4 linked regions of the Lepisosteus oculatus genome follow. The protein of the gene in region 4 binds, or shares a complex with, the protein of the main gene of each other region. Links are inferred from orthologs where the notes say so. Each region holds a gene or a part of one and is shown on either strand. Other genes may lie near its edges.

Evidence for each region.
Region 1: mcm2 (region 4) and cdc45 share a complex: the UniProt entries of both Homo sapiens proteins name them as parts of the CMG helicase complex. The link is inferred for Lepisosteus oculatus from reciprocal best matches to the Homo sapiens genes MCM2 and CDC45.
Region 2: mcm2 (region 4) and gins2 share a complex: the UniProt entries of both Homo sapiens proteins name them as parts of the CMG helicase complex. The link is inferred for Lepisosteus oculatus from reciprocal best matches to the Homo sapiens genes MCM2 and GINS2.
Region 3: mcm2 (region 4) and protein downstream neighbor of son homolog share a complex: the UniProt entries of both Homo sapiens proteins name them as parts of the replisome complex. The link is inferred for Lepisosteus oculatus from reciprocal best matches to the Homo sapiens genes MCM2 and DONSON.

Annotation. Positions count from the first base shown.
Region 1 is NC_090717.1:1,234,180-1,241,335, forward strand, and holds the start of cdc45 (cell division control protein 45 homolog), read right to left. Parts: upstream 3,019-7,156; 5' UTR 2,868-3,018; coding exon 2,817-2,867; intron 2,052-2,816; coding exon 1,992-2,051; intron 760-1,991; coding exon 667-759; intron 13-666; coding exon 1-12. Other genes in the region: ufd1l (ubiquitin recognition factor in ER-associated degradation protein 1), read left to right, coding at 3,472-3,474, 5,102-5,234, 5,715-5,747, 5,911-6,032, 6,641-6,771. UniProt on the Homo sapiens protein: Required for initiation of chromosomal DNA replication. Core component of CDC45-MCM-GINS (CMG) helicase, the molecular machine that unwinds template DNA during replication, and around which the replisome is built.
Region 2 is NC_090715.1:16,818,209-16,825,904, reverse strand, and holds the start of gins2 (DNA replication complex GINS protein PSF2), read right to left. Parts: upstream 3,021-7,696; 5' UTR 2,942-3,020; coding exon 2,852-2,941; intron 2,476-2,851; coding exon 2,361-2,475; intron 1,178-2,360; coding exon 1,078-1,177; intron 1-1,077. Other genes in the region: emc8 (ER membrane protein complex subunit 8), read right to left, coding at 7,104-7,263. UniProt on the Homo sapiens protein: Required for correct functioning of the GINS complex, a complex that plays an essential role in the initiation of DNA replication, and progression of DNA replication forks.
Region 3 is NC_090708.1:28,968,397-28,975,990, reverse strand, and holds the start of protein downstream neighbor of son homolog, read right to left. Parts: upstream 3,007-7,594; 5' UTR 2,512-3,006; coding exon 2,095-2,511; intron 1,696-2,094; coding exon 1,612-1,695; intron 724-1,611; coding exon 520-723; intron 34-519; coding exon 1-33. UniProt on the Homo sapiens protein: Replisome component that maintains genome stability by protecting stalled or damaged replication forks.
Region 4 is NC_090699.1:59,492,441-59,500,352, reverse strand, and holds the start of mcm2 (DNA replication licensing factor MCM2), read left to right. Parts: upstream 1-4,894; 5' UTR 4,895-4,964; coding exon 4,965-4,970; intron 4,971-5,972; coding exon 5,973-6,160; intron 6,161-6,947; coding exon 6,948-7,117; intron 7,118-7,912. Other genes in the region: ccdc51 (mitochondrial potassium channel), read left to right, coding at 120-419, 1,542-1,706, 2,281-3,027. UniProt on the Homo sapiens protein: Acts as a component of the MCM2-7 complex (MCM complex) which is the replicative helicase essential for 'once per cell cycle' DNA replication initiation and elongation in eukaryotic cells.

The sequences.
Region 1 (7,156 bases), on a different chromosome or scaffold from region 4:
AAAGTAACGGAACTGCGAGGCAACACAAAGACGAGGCTTGAGCACCCCAGGGGAAAAACTCAAGACATCAAAGCCCATGCGTTTGGGCAAGGAACGGGCTCCTATCAGGATTCAGGATCTGTGCTACCAGTAAAATTCTGACTTTTTAAAACACATTAATGAATGTTATTGATAAAAAGTAATGTACTGTAGGAGTTTTATGTATTTTTGGGCTAATGCTTTTATCTAACGTTTTTCAGACCTCAGCTCACAGCTATGAATCCTGCGACCACACACGGGGGAGAATAAGGAAGTCAAGGCAGACTCCTCCCACTTCCCCACCTTTGAGACAGATGGGATTAAACACAGTACGCATCCCTCATTGACAGAAAGGGGCACTGTTTTACAGACAGGGTGACTAATCCCACTCAACTGTATGTGCTACTTGAGGAATCGGCTGGCGACGTGACCCACATTCGAACCCAGGATCGCAGTAGCCTGTTAGTTTTATTACAGTTTATAGACAGGTTTCCTCCCATTCATCCCTTACAAATGTCAACTTCTGGTGCAAAACATCCAGGAACAGCTACCACCAGAGAGATCCTCAACATCCCGCTTTTTAAAATAGGAGAACACAGTAAATACCACCCTGTCCTCACAAACTCAGCATTATGCCACGATCCTGACCTGCTCCTTGTGCTCCAGAAAGGCTGTCTCCAGGTCCTGCCAGCCCCTGACTGGCACCAGCGTGTACTGAACATGGTCACAGTGGAACAGAGCCTGAAAGGAAAAACAGCACGCAGGTCATTTTCTCTTTAAAGACCTCGTGACTGGGAGGTTCCCCACTCAGGTCCCGTGTCTCAGCCACACAGTTGCTACAGTCTCCCCCCGAGCAGGGCACCGAATCGCCCTGTGCTCTGTCCTCCGGACATGGCCTCGTCTGGAGATCCCGTCTTCAGCGATGGCAGCCTGGACGGGAGGCGGCCGACTCCTGACCTGACAGCGTCCGCTGAGCAACACGGAAACATCCTCAGTGTGGAAACAACTGGACTTTTGGAGAAAATAGTGCAGGATACCAGCTGCCCAATAACGGCATCAAAAGCCAAAGTCAGTGACCGTGCAGGCTGAACAAAGTCTGACTGACCAGGGAACTAAATTTACCTCCCAACTGATGAAACACCTCCATCGGCAGTTAGGGATTACGTCGATAAAGACCCGTCCTTATCATTCACACACAGACTGACGGGTTGAAAGTTCGTGTCAGATGCTGGAAAGGATTGGGGGAGATGGACTGGGACTCTTTCTTCTATTTGCATTTCGAGAAGATCCGCAAGGCAACAGTGACAGATCACAGATCCTACAGCGGGCGATCTGCTGGCTCAGGAGTTAGCCTGGGAGCCTGAGATTGAACGGTGGTGACATGGCATTATTTGTCCAAAACCTGTAACTCACGCCCAGCGCGGTTCGCTTTGTGTCCAAGGAGACTCTTGGGTTTCCAGCTGTCCTGGCCCGTTATCAACAGTTAATGGCTCACTCTGTGAGGACTAGCACATCCCTGTGCACGCTTGCGTGATAACAACTGACCTACGGCCTCCGTGCTTCTCAAGTGAAAGAGATCAGACTTGCAAAGTTCAGTGTTACAGTACCCAATTACTGCGCCACACTGCTTTAATAAAGATGAGCTAAATTGATACTCTTGGATCTCGCCTTTCTTTCCCTGGGCTTTGAATCCGATTTCGCACAGGTGCACTCAGAACGCATTATTAGAGCATGGACTGCCAGATCTCTAGATCATAGATCTCCAGAGCCATAACTGGACATCCTTGATCTGGGATGTCAGCAGGAAAAGCAGTAGCCAGTATGCAGCAACTTTTATATAAAGCACGTTTCCTGACGAAGGACTCTTTCTCCCCTATATGGTTCTCAAACAGGCTCTAAAGAGGATAACGTCTACAAAAACACCTTGTAGAGGACACTTCTCAGAGAACGCTCCTGCACTCTTAAATACGCACCTGCAGTATTTTACAGGCGCACAGCGCGTCAATGTCCGAGGAGACCAGGAGAGCGACCCTCTGGAGAAACAGGGAGGGAGAGGATCACGGGTGGGGGGAAAAACAGAGAAAAAATATTAAATCTGTGGCCGAGCTGAGCTGAGGATGCGGCTTTCTTCGGGCCGGCCTGGTGTGGGCCCCGAATAAAGAACCTAGACCTCCTATTCTTCACTATATTGAGGAAATACAAGGCTACACCTGTCATTAAGTTTCTATGCACTGTATATAATGGAAGAATAATGCTCTGTAGCAAGTCAGCTTGATGACGGATTGACTTTGCCAACGTCGACCTGATCATGGGCCAGGCACTGATCTAACACAGAAGACAAAACACTTGAAAAAGGAAAAACAACAATAAAATATAAAGACAATTACAGAACACATCTTCGCATGAAGCGACGATATTTTATTAACACCTACAGATGTCATATGTAAACACTCACACGGAACACGAAGGTAAATAACACCAAACACCTTCCTTCTATTAAAATAGAAAAATAAATCGCCCTCTCGGTCGCCTGTTTAAACTGCCGCCCTAAAAAGATAGTGCAACATTGTTTTTCTTTGGGCGAGTTATGACAACCCCTGAAAAAACAGGCAAACTAAGTATCCAACGTCTGCTAAAACACCCAAGTATAAATATGGAACTCCTGAAGACCATTAACTGGCACTAATACCCTTAATACCTCTCGAATTCGTTACAATACACCGCGTTAAAACGAAACCCTCACGTTTAATAGTCTCTCTTCGATAATTGAGCACTACGACACAAAGGGATCTTTTTACCTGATTCACAACAACATCGTAGAACTCCTTCCGAATATCAGACACGAACATTTCCAAACCCCTTTCTATCGACGACTAGGAATAAAAAAAAATAAAAATGACCTTTTAAATAAATTAAAAAATAACTCGTACAAACGTATAAATTGATTTAAAATACACCAACTCCTTCAGAGATACAGAATCTTCCGTTCCTTGTTAAAAACCTGGCGCCAAATCAGTTTGATGGACTCCTGTTTCCTATTGGCTTGTAACAGATCGATCTAGCCAATCAGAGTTAAGATCCTTCAGCTACTCGTCGCTGATAGGTTATTGGAACAAGCCAATGGTTCGCCACCACAGGTAGACGATGCGCCATAGAATTTTACGCGGATTGGTGTGACGTCACGTCAAAACAAAACTTTAGACCAATCACTTACGTAGAGGCGGTGTACTGTTAAATGATTGGTTATTGACTTTGGAAACGACGTGGGGATTGGTTGTTGTTTCTCCTCGGGTCACTTCCCTTGGCGACTATTTACTTCCCGGTTACGGAACAAACTCCTCTTAATAATCTTCTGCTATTAGGAGATGGTCGATTGTAGGTTCACTTTATTCTTCTTTGGTTGAAACCATTTGTTTTCATTAAACATCGTACCCTAAAGAGTAAGAGTTCATCATGGTAAGTACAGAAGGATTGGTGGTTTTGTGTTTAATACGTCGCATATTGAACTACAGCGCCAGAGCTGTACAGAAAGAAAGATGCACCGTCACTGTTACAAGTTCCCGAGATGTGGACAGATTTGTTAATAAACCAGGCGTCGTGATGACAGCAGACGTCTGAAGACGAGTTTATTTTCTCAAGTTCACATAAAGATGTAAACACTGGAAAGACCACTCTTCTTCGAGCGACGTTCCGCCCTGTGCGTTGTGGCGTAGGTGTAAATATCAAGATAGGTGTCATCCTCTCTGTCTGCACGTAAATGAGAACAGCAGTGTTTGGGTTGCACCCGCGGCGGAATGGAATAAAGGTTTTTGGAGACCCTGAGCAGCAACAGAAAGTTGACATCAATCTGCCAGGGACTGACTTCGTGCTTTTGACGACCAAAAAAATAGGTCGGGAGGGCTGCTCGGGCCTGCGGGGAGATACCACCCCAAGAGCGGTTATAAACGGGGGCAAAACTCTGGTGCCCTTTTACCTGATGGTGGGGAGAAGCAGAGGCAAATCGAGTGCTCCTGCCCCAGTTGTAGAGCCCGGAGTTTCAGTCAACAGAGCCTGATTACTGATCAAGCCAGTTATGAACTCAGTCAAGAAACCTGGTTTCTAGACTGAAAACCAGACGTCTGGGTAGATCTCCAGAGCCATAACTGGACATCCTTGATCTGGGATGTCAGCAGGAAAAGCAGTAGCCAGTATGCTGCTCCTTTTATATAAATCACATTTCCTGACGAAGGACCTGACATTCTCCCACATGGTCCAGGTCTGAAAGTTGTGCTTTTTGTGCGAGAGCAGAACAACACCAGGGTGCCTGTATTTGTAATGGCAATAGGCTGTAAAATGGCCTGCAGCTATATCACTCTGCAACTCACAACAGGTTGCTGCTGGAAGAGGTGTTAGTGGGGCCAGCAGGGGGCGCTCACCCTGCGGTCCATGTGGGTCCTAATGCCCCAGTATAGTGACGGGGACACTATACTGTTAACAGGCGCTCTCCTTCGGATGAGACGTAAAACCGAGGTCCTGACTCTCTGTGGTCATTAAAAATCCCAGGGTGTTTCTCGAAAAGAGTAGGGGTGTAATCCTGGCATCCTGGCCAAATTTCCCATTGGCCCCTACCAGTCATGGCCTCCTAATAATCCCCATCTCTGAATTGGCTTCATTACTCTGCTCTGCTCCCCACTGAGTGCTGATGTGTGGGGAGCGGACTGGTGCATCATCCAGGTGGGGCTGCACACTGGTGGTGGTGGAGGGGATCCCCGTTACCTGTAAAGACCTTTGAGTGGAGTGTCCAGAAAAGCGCTATATAAGTGTAAGCAGTTATTATTATTATTATTATTATTATTATTATTATTATTATTATTATAATAAAAGACAGGAGCTCCAATGACAGTCCAGGTCTCTGCGAAAATATTTTAGATCTGAATGGAATCTCTGAAAGTAGTATTTGGAGCTGAAGTTGATTTCAGATTGGTCAGAGAAGTGTGAGTGGAACCACGCTGTATACCTGTACAACCAGCTGTCTCCACACCTATTGAGATGAAACCTTCGTTGTTGTTTTCTGGGGGCTGATCGTTCTGTCCTCTCATTTCAGTTTTCCTTCAATATGTTTGACCACCCGATTCCACGGGCCTTCCAGAACCGGTTCTCCACACAGTACCGCTGCTACTCCGTCTCCATGCTGGCCGGGCCCAACGACCGCTCCGACGTCGAGAAAGGAGGGAAAAGTAAGAGCAGGGGAGGCTTTGCTGGGTCTCCTGAGATGTCGCCCGGTCCTCAGCGTGGGGTCTGGGCAGCTGGCTTGATGCCACCCATTTAGAACGCCAATAGGGTGAAAAGCTCAGTTTCTGACAGGCTTGCTGAGCAGCTGTACTGCACTGTAACATCTTGCCACAGAACATAGCATAATATAAATGTGATACAGTATATGACATTATGTCATAAGTTCAGGTAGGGAGCTGCAGCAGGATGCTTAGGCTGCAAAGGAACAGGTAAAGGTTTATTCCCTGCTGCAAAAAGAACGTTTTGCCTGTGGAGCCTTCTTCTTCCTCAGCTGAAGAAGGCTCCACAGCCAAAACTTTGTCTCACTTTTTTCTTTTCAGCGAGGAAAAAAACGTTTACCTGTTCCTTATTATGTCATAATGTAGCATAGTAAAAGAAATGTATTTCAGCAATGCTAAGCTTTTGTTGTTCTTTTTTTGTTCTAGTTATAATGCCTCCATCTGCGCTGGACCAGCTCAGTAAGTACGCCAGTGACAAAATATGTAATATATAAAAATATGTTCTGTGTTTGCCATGTGCGTCTGTGTTGGTAATGAAGAACTAGCAGTTTCGTCTGGAAAACAGATCCGTAAGAGCCTTGCTTTGTCGGGCACGCACAGTTTAACTCGAGTCTTCCTTCAGGTCGTCTCAACATCACCTATCCAATGCTGTTCAAGCTGACTAATAAGAACTCGGACCGCATGACGCACTGCGGAGTGCTGGAGTTTGTCGCGGACGAAGGAATCTGTTACTTGCCTCACTGGGTGAGTGTCCCCTTCTTAAAATGTTTTAATAAAATATGTAACTTTGCTTTGGTAAAGCTATTTCTGTTTGGTAAAGCTGAAAAAATATATTCCGCTTTAAAATCATCTGTATTAAATAGTATTGTTAATAGCTTTTATTGTGTGAATTGAAAGTCTTTTTATGTCATGTGACATAACAAACAATGTGAGAGACATGTTTGCATGAGCTATTGCTGAGGGTTCTTTTCTGAAAGAGCTGGTGGAGATCCTCAGATCAGTCAGTGATGAAATCTAGAGGCTGGATCAGCTCCACTGCTTTTTCTTATTTGTAACCTTTCTCATGTTTTTACTCGGGTATTGAAAGTAAAAAACTGTAGGTGAACGTTTATAAAATGTCTGTTAAAGTAAAAGGGGTTGGTTTTATTGTCGATCTGGCAATTGGAGTAAAAGAGCATACACTTGCATACTTTTATTTATAAAGCCCCGAGAACTGCTTCATGTTGCATGGTTACAGTGAACATTGATTGTGCCCAGGCAGTAAGAGCTGGGTGATTGATTCAATGAAAGCTGCTGACTTGGTTGCCTTTCCTGCCCTCACTTATTTGTCTGCTTGGCCTGTTTTCCTTCAGATGATGCAGAATCTTTTGCTGGAGGAAGGAGGTCTGGTCCAGGTGGAGAGTGTGAATCTCATGGTCGCAACGTACTCAAAGTTCCAACCCCAGAGCCCAGACTTCCTCGACATCACCAACCCCAAAGCAGTGTATCCTTCCAGTTTCAGACATGGGTTCAAGTACCACTAAGGCCTGGAGAAAGATCCTACTTAAAATGACAACGCTTTCCACAGGAGTAATTCCACAGAATATTCCTACAGAGCAAATACCTTTGGATAAGATGACAGGCAATTCATTCCTTGGGCGGAGCGGTGGCACTCTGGCTAAGGATCTGCGCCTGTGGCTGGGAGGTTGCCGGTTCAAATCCCGCAACCGGGAGAGGAATCCTACTCCATTGAGCTGTATAAATGGCTGACCCTGCGCTCTGACCCCCAGCTTCTCCCTCCCTGTCAAAGTGTCTCATGGAAAGTAAGCTGGGGTCTGCAAAAAGACAAATTCCTGATACAAGAAATTGTATATGGCCAAATGAAGTGA
Region 2 (7,696 bases), on a different chromosome or scaffold from region 4:
AGGTCAGCATGTGTCCAGAGCTTAAAGGACAGTTACGGGGGCAGACAAATGAAAGCTTGCAGTCTTAAGATGCACGTGTGTTCCTCTTGAAAAACATATCTGAAAATTATATTTCTTTAAACCTTCTGTAATCCCACATGCCACTTCAAATCACAGCAAGGATTCAATAAACTGTTTTTGTTTGTTTCTTATGCAAATCGGTCTTGAACAAAGAAGGTATGAGGGAACCCAACACGAGTATTCAGAATCATCAAAGGCCCGGACACACTCGGCCCAGTGGACTTCTCCAGCACAAAGAGCGAAACAAACCAGAGGCCACAGGTGCAAGATGCAGGGAAGTGCATTTAGAGGAGGAGCATCTTTACCCAAAGGATAGCGTGAGCCTGGAGCAGGCTAGCCAGCCATATGGTTGAAGATCTCCTGGCTTTTTTGAAGAAAGGGCTGGATGAGATCCTCAGATCAATCAATTACAAACTAACAAGAAGGTTAGATGGGTTGAATAATCTCCTCTCCTCTGCAACAGTTCTAATGTTCTTCACTGGGACACAAAACTCACCTTTCGCGAGCATGAGGCCAAAGTTATAGGGTGGTGGCAAAAGTAGAAACTGAATGTCCTTGGTCGACCCCACCAAAATCCTGACTTGAGTCTGACTGAAAACTTGAAGACTTGCGGTCATTCAGCCAAGCAGCTCAACCGAGGCCAAGCACATTTCCAGGGAAGAACAGCAAACACTGCAGCAGCCCAGTGTGCACAGCTGGCAGAGACTCACAGCATTCACCGAGCATCGGGACAGAGGGGGTGAGTATTCGTGAAGTCAACAGATTGTAGTCTCCAATTTTCATGGCAGTTTCTGCTGATATTTAGCTTTCATTACCCAAAATATTACGTGTATTCAAATTGTGGTGAAAAACATTCGGTTTAAAATAAACGTACATACATACTACATCAGAAAGGAATGAATACTTGAGCTTGGCACTGCATGTTGCTCAAGCAAAGAGGAAAAGCTATTTCTTTAAAGCTTCATGACCGAGTAGGAAGGGTCTTGTGTCACAGGTCGAGAGTGCAGCGATACTCACTGGTTCAACAGTAACTTGGTCAGCTCCATGTAGTATGGACTGGGCATAGGGGTGAACATCCCTACTTTCCTCTCCTGCTCCCTGATCTCTTCCAGCTTCTCTGCAGTAGAGACAAGGGCTGACACTGAACACGCTCTCTCACAGCTAACCCCCCAAACAAGGCAGACAGCATGACCAGCTGCACCATCACAGATTCATTCCAAAGCTGAACGCCACGTTAGGTTTTATGGGACACAGGCATTAGGAGCAAATTTACATCTCAAAAAAGACATAAAGCTGCATTTACACATTAATGTCTTTCAATTGAATGTGGTTTTAAAATCCCATTCTATCTCAAACTGTTCTGGTAAACACAGAGTTATAAAGTCTCCCTATTAAACTGATTAAAACAAGCAATACAGAGTTGTCCGTTGCTGAGACTAGAGATACACAATCCTCATTATTACCAATCTGTCAGAGGCAATTGTTAATTTAATTTAGACAATATCTGGACACAAGATGGATGGACTATTCAGATTTCAAATACCAGAGATCTCTTTATTATGCCAGAAGCTATATCACCCAGCAATTCACAACTGACAACCAGCTCAGCAGGGGTGAGCCTGGCCAGTACCTGGATGGGAGACTCCTGGGAAAGCTGAGGTTGCTGCTGGAAGAGGCGTTAGAGGGGCCAGTAGGGGGCGCTCACGCTGTGGTCTGTGTGGGTCCTAATGCCACAGTATAGCGACAGATGGACACTAAACTGTAAAAAGGTGCCATCCTTCAGATGAGACGTAAAACTAAGGTACAAACTCTCTGTGATTAAAAAATCCCAGTTTCTCAAAAAAGAATAGGGGTGTTACCCTGGTGTCCTGGTCAAACTTCCCCCTGGCCTTTACCAGTCATGGCCTCCTAATAACCCCCCTCTCTGAACTGGCTCCATCACTCTGCTCTCCTCCCCTCTGAGAGCTGGTGTGTGGGGAGAGTACTGGAGCACTCCGGCTGCCGTCACATCCAGCACACTGGGCTGCACACCAGTGGTGGTGGAGAAGACTATTTACCTCTAAAGCGCTTTGAGTGGAGTATCCAGAAAAGCTATAAATTGTAGGTCTAAGGAATTATTAACTGAGAATCGACTAAACACGTTAATAATAACAGATGAACTACAAGGGAAAGACATTAAGTAATAAGTGGACAGAGCAAATTAACTGCAATGCATTCTAAAGGCTAACATGTAAAGGAAACAAATACATCCAGTGGCATCTATCCATCTTTTCATAACCGGACAAATTAGCTGTTCTCACCAACATCCATCCAGTCGGGGGGCACGATTCTACACTTCTGTCTCTGCTTCAGGTTGATAGCCAGCCAGACAGGCACATCCACGGGCAGACCGGGGTTGAAAGGACCCAAGTCCCCCTACCAGGACAATAAGAACTATTGACGCTTAAAATCAAAACAATTTTACATGTCAAAATTGACAGAGCTGTGATTCGACCGTCCCAAATTCGCATTTTGATTTAAATTCACTCGCTTCAGCCCGGTTTAAAATCGCGTTCTACAAACATACGGGTTTCTTTAATCTCGATTGATTTAAAGAAGGAATCATTACATTAACTGTAGCTATTTCACGTAGTTTGTGTCTATCATTATTATTACTGTAAGCAAAAAGAATACGTAAAGAGATGTTCTGTCATTTGCTTGTCAAATGTGTATCTAACCGGACGGATACTCTACACCACAATACAGATGCATTCTTAACTACACTGCTACGCCCTTTCATTTATGTACTTACCCCAATCAAATAGACTTTGTCTAGACTGAAATTCGGAATTATGGTCACCATCTCCTTTTCAGCTAAGAACTCTACCTCTGAAGGATCCATCCGCAAGTCAGACTTTTAAATTATATTTCACCAGCTACCACAGTCTACCGACAAGTTTCCCGCGCTGAATTCTGACGATGACGCTGTGACCCGGAAGTGAAGGTTTTTACTGTCGGCAGTCACGGGGGAACCGGAAGTCCGGCTCCTGTTGTAGCAGCCCTTCGATTTCGATTATTACCCGTGGAAACTCTTAGCTATTCAAACTTATATTATGTTAATTATAGGTTACTGTGAAGTTAATCATATTTTTTTAATTATTCAGACTTACGTTTTTATCATTAATAGTCACTATTAACATAATTGTATGTTTATAACTTTTATGTTATTGAGTTTTTCAGCATCTTAGTACGTTTAATAAATATTTGTTCATCTCCGAAACAAAGTTTTGCGTCGCGTTGAAAATTATTTGAAAACCTACCTGTTATACAGCGATAATGGTGAAAACCCTTTAATCTACTCAAGTGGTAGCCTGGGCATTTCTCCTAATTGTGCCCGTCACGTCTGTAGCTTAGAGAATTGTCCAGAAAAAAAAGATGCTAACTGGCCTAATGTTAAGATAAAGAAAATCGGGAACGTTATAGTAGAACGCGGTTGCTTTTTTAGACATATTTGCCTTTTGTGCTTCATTTACAAACAGGATAAATAACCCCAGACACTACATCATCCCAGCTCAAATTATCATGTCTCACCAGCAGGACAAATCATAACATATTCCCATTTTACAAGAAATCTCTTGTTAAAGGTGCACCGATGACTGTGCCTTGTCACGCTGGAAAGTTGTCAGGGTGACCTATAGCAAGGGACCCAAATTATGTTCCCAGGCTTGATCAGTGTAGAGCTGTGTAGTAAGACTTCCATCTCTCGCTTCAAGAGTTCTGTAGCAGCTAAAGGAGAGCTACCAGCTCCTTAAATGCTAATTAACCAGTTATTTAAAAAAGGAGCTGCTTGTAGCAATATTTTGGAAAGGACATTTTTGTTATAAATGATCTCTGTATTATTTAATTGAACACCACCTTTTTAATTGATCATAATTAACTTTTTCCAGGCCTTTAGAAATGGATTAATTAAATACTACTGATAAAGCCTGCTGGAATGTGGCTCTCTGGCTCTCCAGACCAATGGTTAGGGATTTCTGGCTAGATCATCAGACTTGGACTGCCCTATCAATACTAACAAGGCTTCCTGGCTCAGTGTCTTGGCCTGCATTTGACAGGCTGTTTGGCTGTATTGTCTTGTCAGACTAGAAGTTACTGGATGGTAAGCAACAGTTCACTTATTCCAGTCTTTTTTATTATTATTATTATTATTAAGGTTTTGTTCTCTTAATGTGTGGAGTATATTAGTAACTTTCTGTGACTTTCTTAATTACTTCATTACCTGTACCTAATTGGTTCACCTCACTGATAAGGTGATTTAGTGTAACTTGGTCAAAAGTACAGTGAATTAATCATCCATCCATCCATCTTCTAACCACCTTCTTCCAATACAGGGTCGCGGTGGAGCTGGAGCCGGTCCCAGCAAGCAATGGGCATGAGGCAGGGCACACCCTGGCAGACAGACACGCACTCACAGCAGGACCGGTGTTCCCAGGAGTCAGCTGATCTACCAGCATGTCTGGGAAAGGCATGCGAGGATGGGGGAACATACAGCTCCATGCACAGAGCACCCAGTCCCACACAGTGAGGCAGCAATGCTCCCCACTGCACTACTGTGCTGCCCACCTGGTCAAACTCAATGATGCAGAAAGCTTTTCATCTTTCTCTAAAATCCATACACTTTATTTTTCTAAAAATATACATGCATAAATAGTATATTAAAGCCAAGCGCTTTTTTGATGCTCAATGATTTTTAACATTTTAGGATTAAAAATATGCATCTTGCTTTAATTAGTAGTCTGTAATTACAGCACCTCAACAAATTACAAGGTATATCATATAAAGAAAAAATTAAAAATAACCTAGATTTTAAAAACATTTTATTAGTTCTAATTTACATTTTAAGATGACTGTGGTCTAAAACCTGATCTGGAAGATAAAACGATTGGACTTTATCAGATTTATACAGCAATTGGGAATTAAAATACCAGACTACAATACATGGGATTAACTCTGAGGTTATGAAATGCATATAAATTATAACACACAAAACTTAAACATTTTCTAAATTATTTTTAGCAAACCAATGGCTCCCAGACCATTTGAATATTGAATTGAATAACACTAAGGTTTTCAAACACAAGACTAAATATTTTATAAGGCTTCAACAACTTCAAACAGTTCAAAATCAACATCTTGTTGAGTTTTTCAGGGTCCAGAATGAATATGAATCCTATAAGATAAAAATCCTGAGCATTTCCATGCCTATTACATTTAAATGACTTTGGCAGACATACTGTACCACAAATTAGTAGACTGTCCTCATCTGCAGCTATTAGTCCAAGAAATCTGTTTTTTTTTTCATGCTGGTTATGATAACTATTGATACATACCCATACTATTTAAGGATCTTAGGAAATATTGCATTTTGAAGAGAATTGTGCATATTGTGAATTATCACTCTGGATAATAATGTTTCTTGTAGACATTCACATCAATGTGATAACATGGCTGTTCACATGTTGAGCTAAAAGCTCAGATTAAAACAAAACTTTGAACCAGCCTGCCAACTGCAAATTACACAGTTCATGATGCCAGCATTTGATTGGGGACAGGTGTGAAGTATCTGGCCAATAACTAGTTAACCGTTAAGTAGATAATGTTCACTGGCAAAACTGAAGTGATGACCTATGATGAGATGGAAGAGATGGCTTTTACAGTTTAGAGTAAATGGAGACTATCATTACTGGTAGTAAATTCCACACTTCTGTAGTTAATTTCCTTAATTACTCATTTTTCTTGTGTGTCCACAGTGATGGCCATGGACAATGCTGTCCTGTCAGGCCCCCTGTCTGAAGGCCGTTACCACAGAAAACATCCCCCATTCATTTCGCTCCACCTTTTCCTCAGCGCTGCATTCCCAAAGCCACCTCCGGAGCACACAGAATGGGAGAAGCTCCAGGAAGGTCAATAAAGAATTCTTCTAGCACAACAAAAATGTATCTAACTGTGGTGTTTTAAAATTAGCATTTAACTTGAAAGAAAAAAACAGGTTAAACAATTTCCTAAATTTAGACGAATCTGTGGTGCCAATTGCTGCAGCTACGTAATTCAGGTGAAACAGTTATGATGCTTAGGACTATAAAAATGACTGATTTTTTTAAAGAATTTGTATCAATTAAGTCTTCTAAGATAATGAAATGATGCACCAAAGATTCCACTCACGTTTCCTGGTTCTCAGTAGAAAGATCTATTTCCCTGTGGTCATGTGCTAGTCTAATAGACTAAAAAGTCAGGTCAATCTTTATATTCAAAGGAAATGGTCAAAAGCAGCATTTACATAAGTCAAAAATGACTACTTTAGTTTTCTGTATAGTCTGGTTAAAAGGTTAAAAAATGCAATGACAATTTTGATTCGGAAATACAATTTTAAACATCATACATGATGGAATTCTAACAACAAATGCTATTCCTAAACCTGGACAGGAAGCACTCAAGAATAGTTCTAGGAACAACATGACTTATACACACTAGGAAATCTAATTTACAGGCAAGGCTATCAAATAAAAAAAAATTAATTGTAAATTGTAATTTCAGGAATACAATTAGTCTACCTCTTGTCTTAATCATCTGAATCTGCACATTACCGGAATAACCATTTTTAATTAATTAATCCCTTCAATATAGTCTTTTAACTATTAATTACTAATGCCACTGCAGTACAGCAGTAGTGTTGCACCCGAACAGCAGTACATCACAAGTTTACACAGAAACAGCCATGAGAAACTACGACTCACCACGCCCGTGATTCCACATACACAGCTGTCTGAAGGATACCTGTTATTTCAATAGAAACCTGATTACTTTCCATCACATTAAAACTGAAGATGTGATACCGGGTACCCCTGCTTCTGGCCTCTTCTAAACACTCATTGTTTAGTCAGCGTCGCCTGTGCACAGACAGCTCTGCTCATGAAAAACAGTTCACGGGGGGGAACAAAAAGCAAAAAGATCCCAGTTCTGTTGGGCAGCAATGGCTCTGAAGAGTGTTCCTGCTTCTGGAGCCCTCAGCAGAGGTGCAGGATGGCCTTGTTGATCTCGGGGTTAGTCCAGTCATTCCTCAGGTCATCCAGGTGATTGTCAAAGTCCACCAGGCTCTCGTACGACCTGCCCTCCAGAAGAGCAGCCGTGATCTTCTGCGCTTCAATCCAGTCTTCACAGCAGTCGCTAAAAGCAGTCAACAACATTACGTGTCTGGGGTATAATAGTTATTCCTATATCAGTAATTACTGAGCACTCAGTTCAATGGGTTTGCTGTCCAGCTGAACCACATATACTGACTGTCTTATCTATGAGTGGTAGGTGCTTGTGTGCAAGATGCCCGATGACAGTAATGACATCTAGAAGACCATCTCAGGCTATGGGAAGTTCAGCCATCACAATTCTCTTTGTTTGAAAGACTGAAGGAACTGCAGGTTTGTTTCACCTTCATACAGCCCAATGCTTCAGCAGTTCAGCCCAGCTCTATGAGAACTGAAACCCAACAGGTATCTTAGAGCACGGAAAAGACTGTCAGGAAAAGCTGGGAAAAACAGCTGTGTCTTTTAATATAATTGCTGCCTTGCACACTGAGTGACTGACTGCGAAACTACAGCGCAGG
Region 3 (7,594 bases), on a different chromosome or scaffold from region 4:
GGCACAGCGCAAATCTGGGCTGTTCTGCAGTTCCTGAATAAAGCAAGACACACATGGAGTCAACATTAGTGAAACAAGTAGGTACCCCTTCAATGTACTCGAGTTTCCCTTGAGTGGGGAGTTACAAAGCAGAAAACACAGGCAATATACAACTGGGCAACAACTGTCTGCTCTGTAAATTGTTTTTACTGCATTGTGCAGCACTGCAGAGTAAACGTACTTACTGGATGTTTACTGCACAGTGGGCAATTTTCAATGGGATGTTTTGGATGCCAGGCATTGAGTTCCCTCCTCCTGATACACTAAACACTCCCAGACAATTAATATCACCACTCACTTCTATCATCTACAGAAATTATCAACAACTGACCCACTGCTCAACAGCTACCCACACTGCCACCTCCTACAATCAAAAACAAGTCACTCTTAGCCAATCTCTTCAAATTGAAAAAGAAATTCCTGTCCCCCCCCCCCCAACGTTGCAGGTTATGAAATTTGTGGTGTGTGGACCCTCTGTACCTGATTGTGGGACAGCAGGTTGGCATGGGTGGCACGGCAATGCTGGACCAATCCCTGGGCCTCCTCCTGTGCTTTGAGGTTCTCTGCCCAGGCAAAGGGGCGAGGGGAGGTGAAGAGGAGACGCGTCTTGAGGCTCCAATCTGGAGGGAACTGAGTGCAGGGAGTGTCGGATGCGGCCGCGGTCACAGCTGGGACCTCAGAGTCCTGGGAGAGAGGGGATGCGGTGAGGTTATTTGTACAGACAACTGCGAGCGATCACCATGTCCCCCATTTACACTAGACTGTTGCAAACATCAAGCCAAACAAGAAGATTCTACTATTTTCTTTCTCAAGCCCAGAGGTTTATCAGGCTGGAGCTCCTCCCAGGTTGCCGAAGTTAAACTGGTCTGGGGGAAAATGGCTGTCCTGAGCGTGGGAGCACAGGGATCAGTTCCAGTTTTCAATCCCAAACCCCTTTTCTCACCAATTCCAATTCCTTTTTTACATTTAGGGAACTGGAACAAAAGCGGAACAAGAATTGAAAAATGAGAATGAAAAATGCCAATCCATCACAGCGTTAGTACTTATACCAGAGGTACTAATGTATACAGTACTGGGGGACAGGAATAATTTGGGAAACAAATTGTTCCATGCAACATCAATGTCTACAGGTTAGGAAATGCTTCTGGTTAAGAATCCAAAGCACTAACAACACTACTTTCTACAGACTTTACAAAATGCATTTCAACAGTCTTTGGAAGGCAAAATACCCTGGAGTAAAACCCAACGATCTTGTAGTCGTATCTTACAATTCAGGGTAGCTGCAGCCTATCCTAGCATGCAACAAGTGCAAGGCAGGATACACCCTGGATGGCACCGGTCCATCGTGGGCACACACTCACACCACGGCCAGTTTTCCCACTAGCCAATTAACCTACCAATATGTTTTGGGACTGTGGGAGGAAACTCACATGAATACAGAAGAACATACAAGCTCCACACAGATAACACCCCAGGTCCAGAATTGAACCCAGGGCATTTGCACTGAGAGGCAGCAATACACTAACCACTCCTGCTTAGGAGCAAAACCATCATAAACAAAAACATACTGACCAAGTAAATGTGAGGACGAGCTGTCTGTTTTGAAAACAGCTCTCTCTCCAAAAGGGAATCATCTTCTGGAAGAGAAAGTTCCACCTGGAAATTAAAAGAAAAAGCAGCTACATATCAGGTGCAAAAGAGATGTCACCTTCACTGACTGCAGGCAACACCCTCATTTGAAACTGCCACTAAGAGTGGACATTCAGAGGCCATGACATGCCAACTGTCCTACTACTCTCCCAGTGTGCATTTTATTAATCACTTGCACTGTTGCACTCAATGTAAATTCCTATACTACACCACCTAAACTCATAAACTCTGCAGCATATTTTGAAAATATGAAAAGATGTTCATTTCTAAACATTGGGTTTACTTGCATAATGTAATTTTTCTTATTTAAAATCGCATCAGGGTGAGACATCACCGATTCTAAACACAAGTGATTACGCTGGTGTAGTGTATTAGTAACACTGCATTAAGAAAGGGACTTCTTACCTTGAAGGGTTCTCGGCTGTGCGTCTCTGCAAGAACACGCCGTGTGCAGAGGCCGCGTTCCAAGACGCTCAGTCCCTGTGGACCGTTCTCTCCCTCGGCCTCCACAGGGGGCTTGCACCCCGCCGGTCCGTCCCCCCCCTGGCAGTCCTCCACAGCCCTCTTTTTCGGGCTGTTGTACGTGTTCTCGATGCTAGCGAAGGGGTTCCTGCGCTTTTGGCCACCCGTGCGCACCGCGGAGCCCAGAAGGGGTCCCGGAGAGAAGGGCCTGATCCCGGAAAGCGCACCCCCCGGACTGGCCCCGGAGCTGCAGCCGCCAGAGGTCAACACTTCGCTGCGGGAGCGCTGTCGCTGCCTCCGCAACCGCAGAGTGTCTGCAGGTCTCTTGAAGCTCGGAGAGTAGCCTGCGTGTTCAGACATGGTCGCTTTCGATGCTACTTCAGTTTATTTTCTAAAACAAGGTATCCAGCTTCGCCAACTTCCCTCGGTGTGAAGCATGTAAGTCTTCACCGTCTGTAAACTACAAATCAACCCCGAATTAAAGCGTACTTTACCCGCGCAAAGCTGGTGTGACGAGCAATTGAGATTTCCTGTTTTTTTTTTCCTGTTACTGTTTCTGTACTTCCAACAACTGAACCCCGCCAAGTCGCAAACCTTCAGATCGCCTCTCTATATGAAAGACAGCACATACCACCAATTACGAGAAAATGTACTCCTAAAATAAGGAATACAAAAACATTTTAAGAACTAACTTTTATCGCGAACAATGATAAATTCCGTCCTCTTTTTATATGACGTAAGAGTTCCAAATCTCTGTATTATTTCGATGCTTCTTCACTCCATCTGATTTTCTCTTATTGCTCTGTGAGGACAAATTTCGCGCGTAATACAAGCACGCCACAGTACACTGACGTAATGACGTCACTCTCCCGGTAATTTCCTGGGCAGGTCCTAGAGCGAGATGTCTACGTACGCTCTCCCGAGCTTAACATGTGCTTGTGCTGTACGTCCAGTTATCAACATTGTAGTGAGCGGGCAGGAGCTGGATATATTGTATGTTTTTAATTCAGACAAAATAGAATAGATTGATCAATCAACTAGGATTTTGGGTTCATATCTGGAAGGTTGTTCACATTTCTAGTGAGTTACTGCTGTTGTCACTTTAGGCAAGATACTTCAACAAATTGTTCTAACAAAATATCCAGTTATATGAATGAGTGAAAATGTCTATTTATAAAATTGTCAGCCAAATTAAAAATATATATCAAAGATACTTGTCAGCAACAAAAATCATGTACATGTACAGTTTATGTACTTTTATTTATTAAATAAAATTCGTTAAATGCGTTATGCTTTTCATTCCAAAGGACCTAAAAGTGCTTTATGAAGGAGAGGGGACTCCTAAAATTAAGGGCCTCTAGGAAATTCTGAAAGAATGTATATTATTACGTTGGCTGACAATTTTATTAAGAGACATTTTCACTCATTAATGTCTTTGGTGGTCTCCCATCTCTTTTTTTAAGGGGCAGCTTTGCTTAGCTCCTGAAATATGATTAAATCGGGCTACAGATAGTAGCTTGATTGCACTCCTAGAAGTAACAGAATTAGTATGAGTAACGGCATTTACAATATATTTTAAATCCACCCTTACAAATCGATCCCAAATTAACTGTCACTCGTGAAGAGCTGTGTAAAATAGAAAATACATATTCAATTCAATTCAATGCATTTTTATATAGCGCCTTTCTCATCAAGTTTGGCCCAAGGCGCTTCATGACATATGACTTTAAAACAATCACCACGTTCAGGGTATTATTTATACTATTTCAACTGAAAAACGGGGAAAACGTTCTTCTAATTTCTGTTACCGGAATCCTCCGATCTTTTTACATGAAAGACTGCATACGATTGTTATATACACGCCATGACATAATTTGTCCACTAGATGACGCAGTTTCTCCGTACAATGCAACAGATTGCGTTACTCAGTAAACCGGTTCATTCACCCGTAGAGAAGTACCCGATTTTGAGACAACAAGGGAGTGTTAAAGGCAGTATCGCTGTGCCAGGCCGGGTATTCGGGAATAGAGCTACACTGTGCAGCCAAATTTTGCTTCCCATTTTTTAAAGGGATTTTACAAGTTCAAAAGTGCAGATTAAAAAGATACTATCTAGATGCAGAAAAGCACTGCATAATTAAAAATGTATTTGTATAAATATTCTTTCAAACACAGTCTGGCAAAGTAATTCAGATTATGTATAGTTACACGTCTGCTTCCCCTACTGTCAACAGGCATCAACAAAGTGCCAGCTTCCAATATGCTTGCGTTTTCTTGGCAAACATACATCTAGCTAACAAAGAGACGAAAAGTATGGCTTTGGTTGAATGGAAGTCAGATTTGTGGCAGACTCTCACACCCTGTTTGTAAACACAATGTCTGAGCAAAGTTCCACACTGCTCACCTTAGTGTCACACAGCTCCAGATGGGACAGAGTGTGGTTGCCTATGTGTTTTTGTATCAGGTTAAGGATATTGTAAATTATACATCCTTTATGCCAGCTCTAACAGTTCTGTTAGTATTGCATAACAGGAGGACATCTGAATAACTGCCCCCCAGCTAAACATATGGAAGATATGTTGGGAAGCAAAGTGCTTGGCACTTCCTGACTGGAACATGTGAGGGTAGACCAGAGTCCCTTGTTGTTTTGTAGTTGTCAATACGCACAACCCCCTACACACACTCATTCTCGCTCAGGCAGCTGACACACAGTTAGCAGCCACAGTGGTTTCGCCATCATTAAATCTAGTTTGAGGTTCAGTTCCAGCCTGACTCTGTGGTCAGGTGAGGTTGGCATGTCGCTTCTGTTGAGTTTAACCCTGACAAGTCTGTGCTGTGCTGGGTTGGGCTCAGATGTATGGAGCTGGAAAACACGCAGGCCTTGACACAGATGATTTTGTTTTCTGAGGGCCCTGCCAACCGAAGCTGCCCTCACCTATTTTTACCCTGTGAACAAAATGTGTGATAGATGGGTCTGTTGGTCTCCTCTCATTTGTAACTTTTTTTAGTAGTAAGGATTGCAGCCTGTGGGTTTTAAAGACATTTAGAATGTGAGGAAACTATGATTTAGTCCTAAAGGCTATGCTTCTTCTTCATCCTTGGTAAGAGTGCACATTACGATTAGTCCCCACTGCTGTATCTGCCTGTCAGGAACAGTCACTCCACCTCCGTCCTGGGGAAGGGTGGTGCGGGCAGAAAGCAGGTCTGGGCTTGCCGAGCATGCTGTGTGTTGAAAATTCCTCTGGAGTTCAGGAATAGCTGTGGAGTTTGTGGGAGGAGGTTGGGGGTGAAGAGATTGGCATTAAGTCAGAAACCCACATGTTCCTGTTCCATCAAGGCAAAGTGACATTGCTGGGAGAGAGGGAAAGTTGACAGAGGCAGGAAAGGAGGAAGAAGAGGCAGAGCAACAAAGTGGGAAGGACAGTAAGGGAGGCAGGAGGGTGCAGAGTGAAGGTGACACACTCAGTAAGAAAGGCACAGGGAGAGGTAGTGTTGATCACACCTGGCCAAGACAGAAAAGACAGAAGAGTTCAAAGCAGAGGATCCAGAATAATCCCGGTTCAAAAAGGAAAGGCATAGACAGATAGTTTGAAAGATTTATGTATCTTCAGTCCTACATAGAGGGGATTACAAGGTGACCTGCTACAAAGTATTCGGAATACTGAAGGGCATTGGTAAAGTTAACCCAATGGATTGCTTCATACTTAGCTAAAGAAGAAGTGGAATTTACATGAAAATATGTGTCTAGGACTGAGGGGGTGAAGGTCTCTGTGCAAAGGGTGATGGGCATGTGAACCAAGCTGCCAAGTCATAATGTAAGTTCTCCAGGAAGCTGATCCCCTGGGATTCCCTGAAGAGCAATACCCCTGGGAAGAATCCCTGATGATCTTTTCAGATCAAAAGCCACTCAATGGACATGTTAGCTAGAACGGTCTTGTCTTTTTTTGTAGCCTTCTTAATGTGTTTCATAAATGCTCCAAGATCTGAGACCTGCTCTTTGCAATCAAAACACAGAGATGGACAAACAAGTGTTAGAAAAGAAAGGCAAAGGACACAGGAGCATGGTTCCAGCTACACAACTGTATTTATATTTATAAAATAAAATTAAACTAAAAAATACAACAAAACAATAAAAAAATATTTCCAGAAGTGAAAAAGCACAGTGTTGTGTAGTAACATAAAGCCTCAATGACTTTTTCAGGCATTCATTTACAATCAAGGACTATTTACACAAAGTGAGTTCTTTCTGTGAGTTCAGCCCATTGGCCTCAGAGTGTATAAAACGCCAGGCAGCAGGAGGGACACAGCGAGAGAATATTCTCACAGCTGCAGCCAGCAGGAAGGAGAGGTGGCCAGTGTGCTGTTGACCACTCATGCCCTGGGCTTGCCCTGTACCACTTTCATTGCGTCACAGTGAAGTCTGAAAACACAGAGGGTCTTAACCAGTCCTTCAGACAAAGACAAGCGTCTCCTGCAGCATTTACAAGGATCATTTAATTACCAACTGACTAAGACCTGGGAGGAAATGGTTCTTTTATTTTGTGCACTTCATCTTGTAATTAAATGAATTCAATAATTGAAAGGTGGGCTGGAGTGAGACCCATCAGTCACTGCAGCCTGTGTAGGAATAGGCTCTCTCCCCACAATACAGCAACCTCTACCATGACACAGAAGGCTTAAAGGCATCAATGGCTCTCAGAGTTGGTTGTACTGTACCAGAGTGGCTCTCCATGCAAACAAGGAGTCCAGCTCGTGGACCTCAGAGTAATAAGCTCCTAACCTTTTCAGGAATCTATACCTGTCTGCCCTGTCACATTTCCCTTACAATAGCCATAACAAGATCCCATACTGATCATAAGACCAGTTGTAGCCCAAATGCTATCACTAATCCCTGCATAAAGCCTAGCCTTTACTTTAACCCCTTAAAAAATCTTTCTTGATAACTCAGGAAGTCAATCTTCCATCTCTTTTTTTGAGTAACACAAAATACCACAATTCACTACCGACTGTCAACCAAAAATTCTTAAAAGTTGGAAAATGCTGACATTTAAAGATAAGGCTTACACAAAATTTTGAGACTGGGTTTTCTGGAACTTGTAAAGGTGAGCCCAATCTGGACCGATATCCCTCTACTGCCAGCCCAACTGCGTACTGCACCATTTCCTATATGTTATGTGTTACATTATCAAATATTAATGCAAAATTGAACATCTTTCACAAATTCCCACTTGCTCTGCTCTGTTTTACATTGTGCTGTCATCTAAGAATGGATGAATCCCAAAAACAAATTAATCATGTTGGGTTTTTGGAACACTGTCCAGACAGAGAATGTTTGCAGTTTGATTTTCTATGTGATACTGAATAGATCTTTTTATATGCACACGCGATTTGTACCATTCACTCACGTCTCTCCCTGGCCCCGATGTGAAAGGGCTTTTGTGGTG
Region 4 (7,912 bases):
GTCAGAGTAGTAATATAAATATGTCTGATTATAAATAATTATACTTTTTTTTCAGGTGTGTTTGAAACAGGGCCAGTAGTCTCCTGTACCATATTTGGACTGTGGTAGCACCGTCTTCAATGAGGTACAGAGTGGACTTGTTACCAGTGAGGTATGGGACACGCTGTTATCTTGCTCAGGTATCGGGAAACCTCAGACCAGATGTCCTTCCGTTTCGATTTTATTGTGCTCAGAACCCGAAGGAAGCCGGTGGAAAGCTACCACTGCAGTCCGGTTTGCAAAAGTTTGCTAATATAAGCAGACAGTGGGGGCAAAGTTCTGTCAAGGGAGCTTCAGCCGCCATCAACAACTGGTGGGAGAAATATGAGGAGTTTGTGGGGCTGAATGAAGTCCGAGATGCACAGGCAAAAGTCACAGAGGTAAGTGGGGGAAGTTACAACTACACTGCACACTAGTACTGAGAAATAAAGGAACACGTTTTCTACAGTTCTGCCGAAATGTTGGAAGAAAAATCCCCAAAAAAGCAGTACAATGATAAAAAGTGAAACATAAAAATAGGATTTAAAAATAAATTGCTTATTTTTATTTAAACAAATAGTATACCACAATTTCTTTTTCAGTTAAATGATGTTAGACAGTTGTGCTGCATCGCTTACCTAATATGCTTGGGTCATACATTTATAGATGTACTGTGGATGTATCTACGGCTGTTGTCTTTACATAATGTGAAGGTGTTTATAAGAGAAACATTCAAAGACACTGTGCAGACCTTGGTTAATAAAGTAATAGTAAACCTTAAACCTTTAACTTGTAACTAAAATTTTGTATAATATACAAGCTACCTATAAAGAAGCCATTAGCATTTCAACTGTTCATTTCCCAATACCTTGGTTGTATCTTTTCTTTACCCAAATGCTAAATGTTTCAAATAACATTTCACTGTAGAACAATAAAAATGGTAATGAAATAATCCCCTAGGATTGGTTTCTATAATTCTACTGCTCTCAAAAGCACCTTAAGACCAGTAGATTTATAGATTCTGATATTAGATCCCCTGGAATCCTATGACAGGGGCTTAATTAACTGATTCTTAAGCTCAAAAAATGTTTCAGAAAAAGGAAAAGTCAATTGCCCTGTCTTTATTTCAGTCTTATACGGCACACCACCAACATTCATAGTAGTCATTTACATACCCTACCAATACCTTTAATAAGAAGCAGAACGTCATCCTCATATAACATTAGTTATTTGTAAATATAACATGTATTTTCTTAACCTTGATAATTAACATTTTTAATAAGTGTTTATATTACACTTTTTTTTTTCTTCTTCACATACCCTCCTATAGGAATCCTATTTTAATTCTAAAAAATGTGGTATAGCCTTTCGGGTGTTTACTTGGCTTGTCCATCAACAGTGGGGAAAACCAAATCTTTCCTCCTTGCTTTTGATAATAGACGTTTGTAAGGCTAGCCTGGACCTGTTGGTTCAGTTAGCTGCTCGTGAGTTGGAAAATGAGCGAGGGTTTCTGGGTTTCTCAGGCGGAGCAGGCTTTCATGGTGGCCAGGGGGATCGTGCGGGAAGCCCACGAGAGCCTGGAGGCCCTGCAGGTGAGGCTGAAGGAGGTCCGTGATCGGCTGGACCGCGTGTCCAGGGAAGAGGTGCACTACCTGGAGCTCGCCACGCTGGAACACAAGCTGCTGCAGGTGGGCGAGCCCGTCATTCTTTTCGCTTGATGTTAAAACGCCACTTATTACTGCTGTCTCGGTTTCCCTGTCTGCTTTCGTACTTCATGGCGCTTTTTTTGCAGAACTGTGCTGTCGGGAGCCCGGCATTAAATGATTTATAAGTACAGTAGAAAGCCCGTGTCTAAGGAGCTACATTCAGAGCGGTGTCATTCACTGCGACACGCTAGTCTGGCTCTCCGCCATTTCTGAACACCACTTCTTCTGTGACCTACATTGTCTGTCCGTTGGTGCTAGTTATGTACATTCCTCTGAGGAAATGTTTGTTGCCATTACCTTTTGACAGATTGATTTTTCTGGAGGGCATTGAGGGATTTTTTTTGAAGGCACTCTTTTCAGTTAGAGCCCCAAGAAAGGAAATCTGGAAGAGACTTCACGCCAGAACGACAGGATCGGGGAAAAAAAAACCTGATTCCACACTGGGTTATTTAAAGGGGGGTGGGAGGTGTGCTTTTGTAATTTAAGACAATAGGGGTTGACTTTCATCTTAATTAACTTCTGGAACCCTGTGCTTCATTTTGCTTCGCTGTTTTAGGAGGAGCGTCGCCTCCGTACGACCTACAGGAACGCAGAGGAGGCGGAGCGGGAGAAGTTTGCCCTGTTCTCGGCCGGGGTGCGGGAGAGCCACGAGAAGGAGCGAGCCAGGGCTGAAAGGACAAAAAACTGGTCCGTCATCGGCTCGGTGCTGGGGGCCCTGATCGGAGTGCTGGGGTCCACCTACATCAACAGAGTCCGTCTGCAGGAGTTGAAAAGCCTCCTCCTGGAGGCTCAGAAGGGACCTGTGAGCCTCCAGGAAGCAATTAAGGTGCAGGCCAGTATACATGAGTCTCAGCAGGAGGAGCTCGGCGGTCTCATTAATAGCCTGAGGGGCACTTTGCAAGGACCAAAGCCAGCCGATAAGGCAGGGACAGCTGCAATCAAGATACTTCCAAGTGCCTCTGATTCGGACTTAAAAGAACAGTTGCTTTTCAGCAAGAAGATCCATGGTTTGATTGAAGGCATCCAGCCTCAGTTAAGAAAACTGGAGCATGAGATGGGGAAGGTGGCATCTGAGCTCCAAACAGTAAAGGTGGTCATTAGGTCTCGCCCAACAGAGAACCAGCTTTTAAAGTCCCAGGATGTGCAACCCTATGATACAGAGGGCATCATGCTGGAATTGACCCAATCAGAAAAGAGACTAGAGGCACAAATAAACAGGAACACTATGTACAACACAGTTTTAACATACACTGCTTTTGCACTAACACTTCCTGTGCTGTACCTCATCTTTAAAAGCAACTGAAACAGAATTGAGGAATTCTAGATAATCTGACTATTCCTTTCAATTAGTATGTGCATAATCAATTTACAGCACTAGATAATGAATCATCTTCTGTGAATCTCTTACATGAAACATCTCACAATAGAGACTGGTATGTCAAAAGTGAAACATTGTTAAATCATTCTTGAAATAAAAGCTAGTAACATTATTTTGTGTGTGTGTGTGCATTTGAAACATTCTTAAAACTAAGTCAGAAGTAATCCCAGGTAATATAGTAGGTATGCATTAACGGTGTGTTAAAAAAATCAGAATACTTTTTTAAGGGGGAGGATTAGGTCTTTGGAAAAATAATTTGGTTATCTGTTTTGGGACTTCTTTGCTTTATAGTTGATTTTTTTTAGCCCTAGCCTAAAAAACAACATACAGTATGTGCAAAGAGAAACTAATGTGCCAAGTAGTTCAAGTAGAAATAACACCAATACACATACATAACTCAGTACAACACAGTTGAGTCTTTTATATGTTTGGAATAACGTTCAGAATTCTGCTCAAATACTTTTACAGTATTTTTTTGCCAATAAATCATAAAAAATGTCAGCACTATATATCAACCTTCAATCCAAAGAAATACACATCTATGCATATATACATTTTACAGTGAGTCTTTTCTTGTCAGATAAAAATAGAAATATTTGTGTTTTATGTTTTATACTGTAGAGCTGTGCAGACAATTTAAATTGAAAGAAATCCATTAACCCATTACTCTAACCACTTTATGCAATACAGGGTCATGATTCTACTCCAGCAAGCAATAGGTGCCAGAAAAGATACACCCTGGATGGAACACTAGTCCATCTCAGGGGCATACACAGGCACAAACACACACACACTCGCACCAGGACCGATTTTCTGAGGAGCCAATTAACTTACCAGTATGTCCTTGGACTGTGAGAGGAATAAAAAAAATACATGATACAACAAAAGTGTAATATGGAAGGTGACAATGCTGGAATATGCTGTATTAAATCAAAACAGGTTCAAGCACAACTACATAAATACGCTACATCTGAAAAATCTGTATGGTACAGGCATCCCACGGAACTGATTGTTTCACCCAGTAATGAGTATTGTTCACATCACTTCAGCCTGGGAACTTCATATTGAAACAGGGATCTGCATTCATATGAAGTCATGTCAAATATCTTCTGCTACGGGGAGATAAGACTACAATAACCTACTGTTGCTCTGGAAATGGACATGAAGTAAAGTGATTGGAGGGTGATATGTGATATAAAACGTGTGTTCTACAAACAGTTATGACATCCCTACAAAACTGAATGACTCCATTTAGAATACTTTGTCAACCATGCCATAAGAACATCTCAGTTTTGTAAAACGTACGAAGAAAGGTAAGTGGAGGTGAATGTAAAGTCCATCTCTCTGTGAAGATAATAATTAATAATTATATTAATAAATAATTAATAAATAATAATTTTGAACTGAGTAATAAAACTCCTAAACCTACTAAACAATGTTAGGCTACACTAATGTAGTCCGGTGTTCTTACGCTAATCAGAGTATGCGAAACCAACCCCCAGATCTTGCCTTTAAAGAATATAAGTGTTTTTCAGTACAAAAAGGACGCACTCCTATCAAAAGTACGGTATTGGAAAACACGTGTCTTAACTAACAGCAGCGCAACGAATCTGCTAAAGTAAAGCTACTTGCTAAGCACCTCCCCCATTTCCTGGGCTGGACTAAAAGTGGCCGGACATGGGTTCAATATCCGTGACTAATGAATATTTATAAGTCATGGACCAATCGGAAAATGCGTTCGTAGTTCTAAATTAAATATTCATACGTTTTCGCGCGCTTTGCTGTCACATGGCCATTTCGCGCGAAAAAGAGAGAAACAGCAAGTTTCCTTGCAGGAGAGAGAAAGTACCAGGAGCTACAGAATGGCCGTAAGTAGAGAATGGAATTATTTTTGTTTTACCGATAGTGAATCGCACTTTTTTTAAAAAAATTATCGTGTATATTTGAAGTGGAGAAGATTTACAATCTATTTTTTTCGTTCGGTTTAGTTAGGAATTTGAGCTTTGTTATTAGGCTTTGAAATCATTTTCATGTCCTAAACCTTAAGCTTGAGTTATTTTGCACTCGAAAAGCAGTCGTTTGGGTTAACGCTTGCTTTATAGGTTTTGTAAGAATCATTCTTTGTTAAATACTGTTAGGATAGGAGGTGAACCGGAACGTTATATACGGTGTATATATATGTGGTGTCTGGATTCAGAGTTAAAAATCACTTTTAAAATATTTACGGTTGTGTTTATGAGTTTTTTAAGAAACGTTGCTATATTTTTAATTTTAAAGCAAGTGTAGTCTAACGCGGCTTTTGGATTTTAGTGGGAAGTGAGGTGAAAAGGTTTTCATTGTGTCATTCTGAGGTTTACGTTCTAAAGTAAGGAAGGATGTTTTAAAAGTGGCGTTCCCATTATTTTAATGATGTAATTTAGAACATCATCCTCAAAATGTAACTGTGGTTAGTAGAACTACAGAAGCATTCGAGACAGTGCGCTGCTCTTTGTGTGGTAGAAACTCCCTGAGCACACTTGTTCGACTGAGCCCTGCTCGCCGGTGACTGATGAAGATGTTGGAAAAACAAACTCCAGAAGCATTAGTGTTCAGAAGGCGATTTTAGTCCAATCTGCGTGCCTTCATTTCAACTTTTAATTCCTGGTGTCCTTGACGGCCCTCGGTAACGCAAACAACGCTGGGTTATGTAAAAAGGAGGAGCCAAATATCAAATTTCTACAGTGTCTAGTCCATTGCTTTTTTTTTTTTAGGGTTCTTTGTAGGAGTTCATATATTCATCATTACTTTTTGGTCCTGTAGTGTAAAAAAAAAACCCAACAACAACTAGATGCCAACCAACAGAATTTGAATTGAGCTCATCTCGTTCCCAGGATTCTTCCGAGTCCTACAACATTGCCACTAGTCCCAGCCAGGCATCCCGGCAGGGTGATCTGACGTCCAGCCCCGGCAGAGATCTGCCCCCCTTCGAGGATGAGTCCGAGGGCTTGCTGGGAGAGGACCCCCTCCCCGAGGAGGAGGAGGAGGATGGAGAAGAGCTGATCGGGGATGGGATGGAACGGTGAGTTCTGCGCTGACTGCTTTGCCGCGATCATTGTGCACAACAAATGCATCTCGCTTTGGCATGTAGCATTTCAGCAGGTAATTACAGCGCGGTGCATTCTTTCGCGTTATCTTTTGGAGTATGGCATAAAATATTGAAATCACCACAGAGGTGAAGTTAAATTGCCTATCGGGCAGTACTTTCCTGTAGGAGTTTAAGACCAAATGTAATGGCGTTGGAAAGATCCTGTCGGAGTTATAAAGTACTGTTATTTTTGTGTTTGGTGTATGTTATTCGACAGCTAATAATTCAATTATGTGGAGTAGAACAGTGAGTTCAGTTAATTTAAAACTAGTTGCGTTATAGGATGGACAGTGATCTAGCAAGCTGCAGGATATATAATAAGCCTAATGCATTGAAAAGCTTAAAAAGGTATTGCAGGGTGTAGTATTGTGAATCATGGCAAACAGAATTATAGTGTGCTTATGTTTTTGCTAATGATGTATCACTGCATTAGTGACGGCACATGTGGGGAATCTTTGTTGGAAGAAAACTGCAATTTTAGCTGTGGGTATTAAAAGATCCTACAGGTTAATACTGTTCAGCATTCTATAGCTTTTAGAGCAATGCCTTGTTTTACCAGGAATTAGAGGACTACAGCAACCAAAACCTTTCTTAATTATTCTGTGCATATTTGTGGTCAATAAAAGGGATTGCAGGAATTTGTGTTTTTTTTTAGAGACTTTGATCACTTTTTTGATGCTTCCAAAAGCAACGTTTTAGTTCATTAAGCGTCTGTCTGCAGGGACTACCGGGCTATTCCAGAGCTGGACCGCTACGAGGAGGAGGGGCTGGACGATGAGGAGGATCTGTCGGAGCTCTCGCCCGGCGCCCGAGCCGCAGCCGAGGAAGCCATGAGGAGACGGGACCAGGAGAGAGGACTGGGGGGGCGTCTAAGAAGGGGGCTGCTGTATGGTAAGTCAGCAGTGATCCTGTAGCCCAGTGAGTGAGAAAGTCCCAACTAAATCTTCCGGTGCCCAGAGCACATTCAGTAACAGGTCTTGTCTGAGAATGACATGAGTTCATTTAATCACATTATAGACCAGTGTCATAGGGCGGAGCGGTGGCTCTATGGCTAAGGATCTGTGCCTGTGACTGGAAGGTTGCCGGTTCAAATCCCGCAGCCGGCAGAGAAATCCTACTCCGTTGGGCCCCTGAGCAAGACCCTTAACCCCAACTGTTCCAAGGTTGCCGTATAAATGGCTGACCCTGCGCTCTGACCCCAAGCTTCTCTCCCTGTCTGTCTCATGGAGAGCAAGCTGGGGTATGCGCAAAGACAAATTCCTAATGCAAGAAATTGAATAGGGCTAATAAAGCGACATTATCATTATCTTTAACAAGTAGAGGTGTCCAGAAAGGGGAGTGGATTTTCTGAGTATTATATCGCTATTATACATGACAAGAAAAGGTACTGTTGTGTACCGTTAACATAGTGTCTCAGAACTAAAAGAGGAAAAGCTCACAGTGTAGAACTGTTATTTCCATCCTAATTGAAATTGATTTCTGGTCAGAAAAGTTTTATGCCTTTTAATTCCGTTCCTATGGAGGGTCCATTCTCTTTCTCCTCATGAGGAAGGGCTTAAGATTATTCTTTAGAATTCCTGAAGATCACATTGACCCCTTTTCTGCAACAGCCCTGTATATTTGGGGGAGGATCACCTGGAAGGAAATGAGACTAACGTTTGCACTTTGCCCATTGTGAAGACTAAC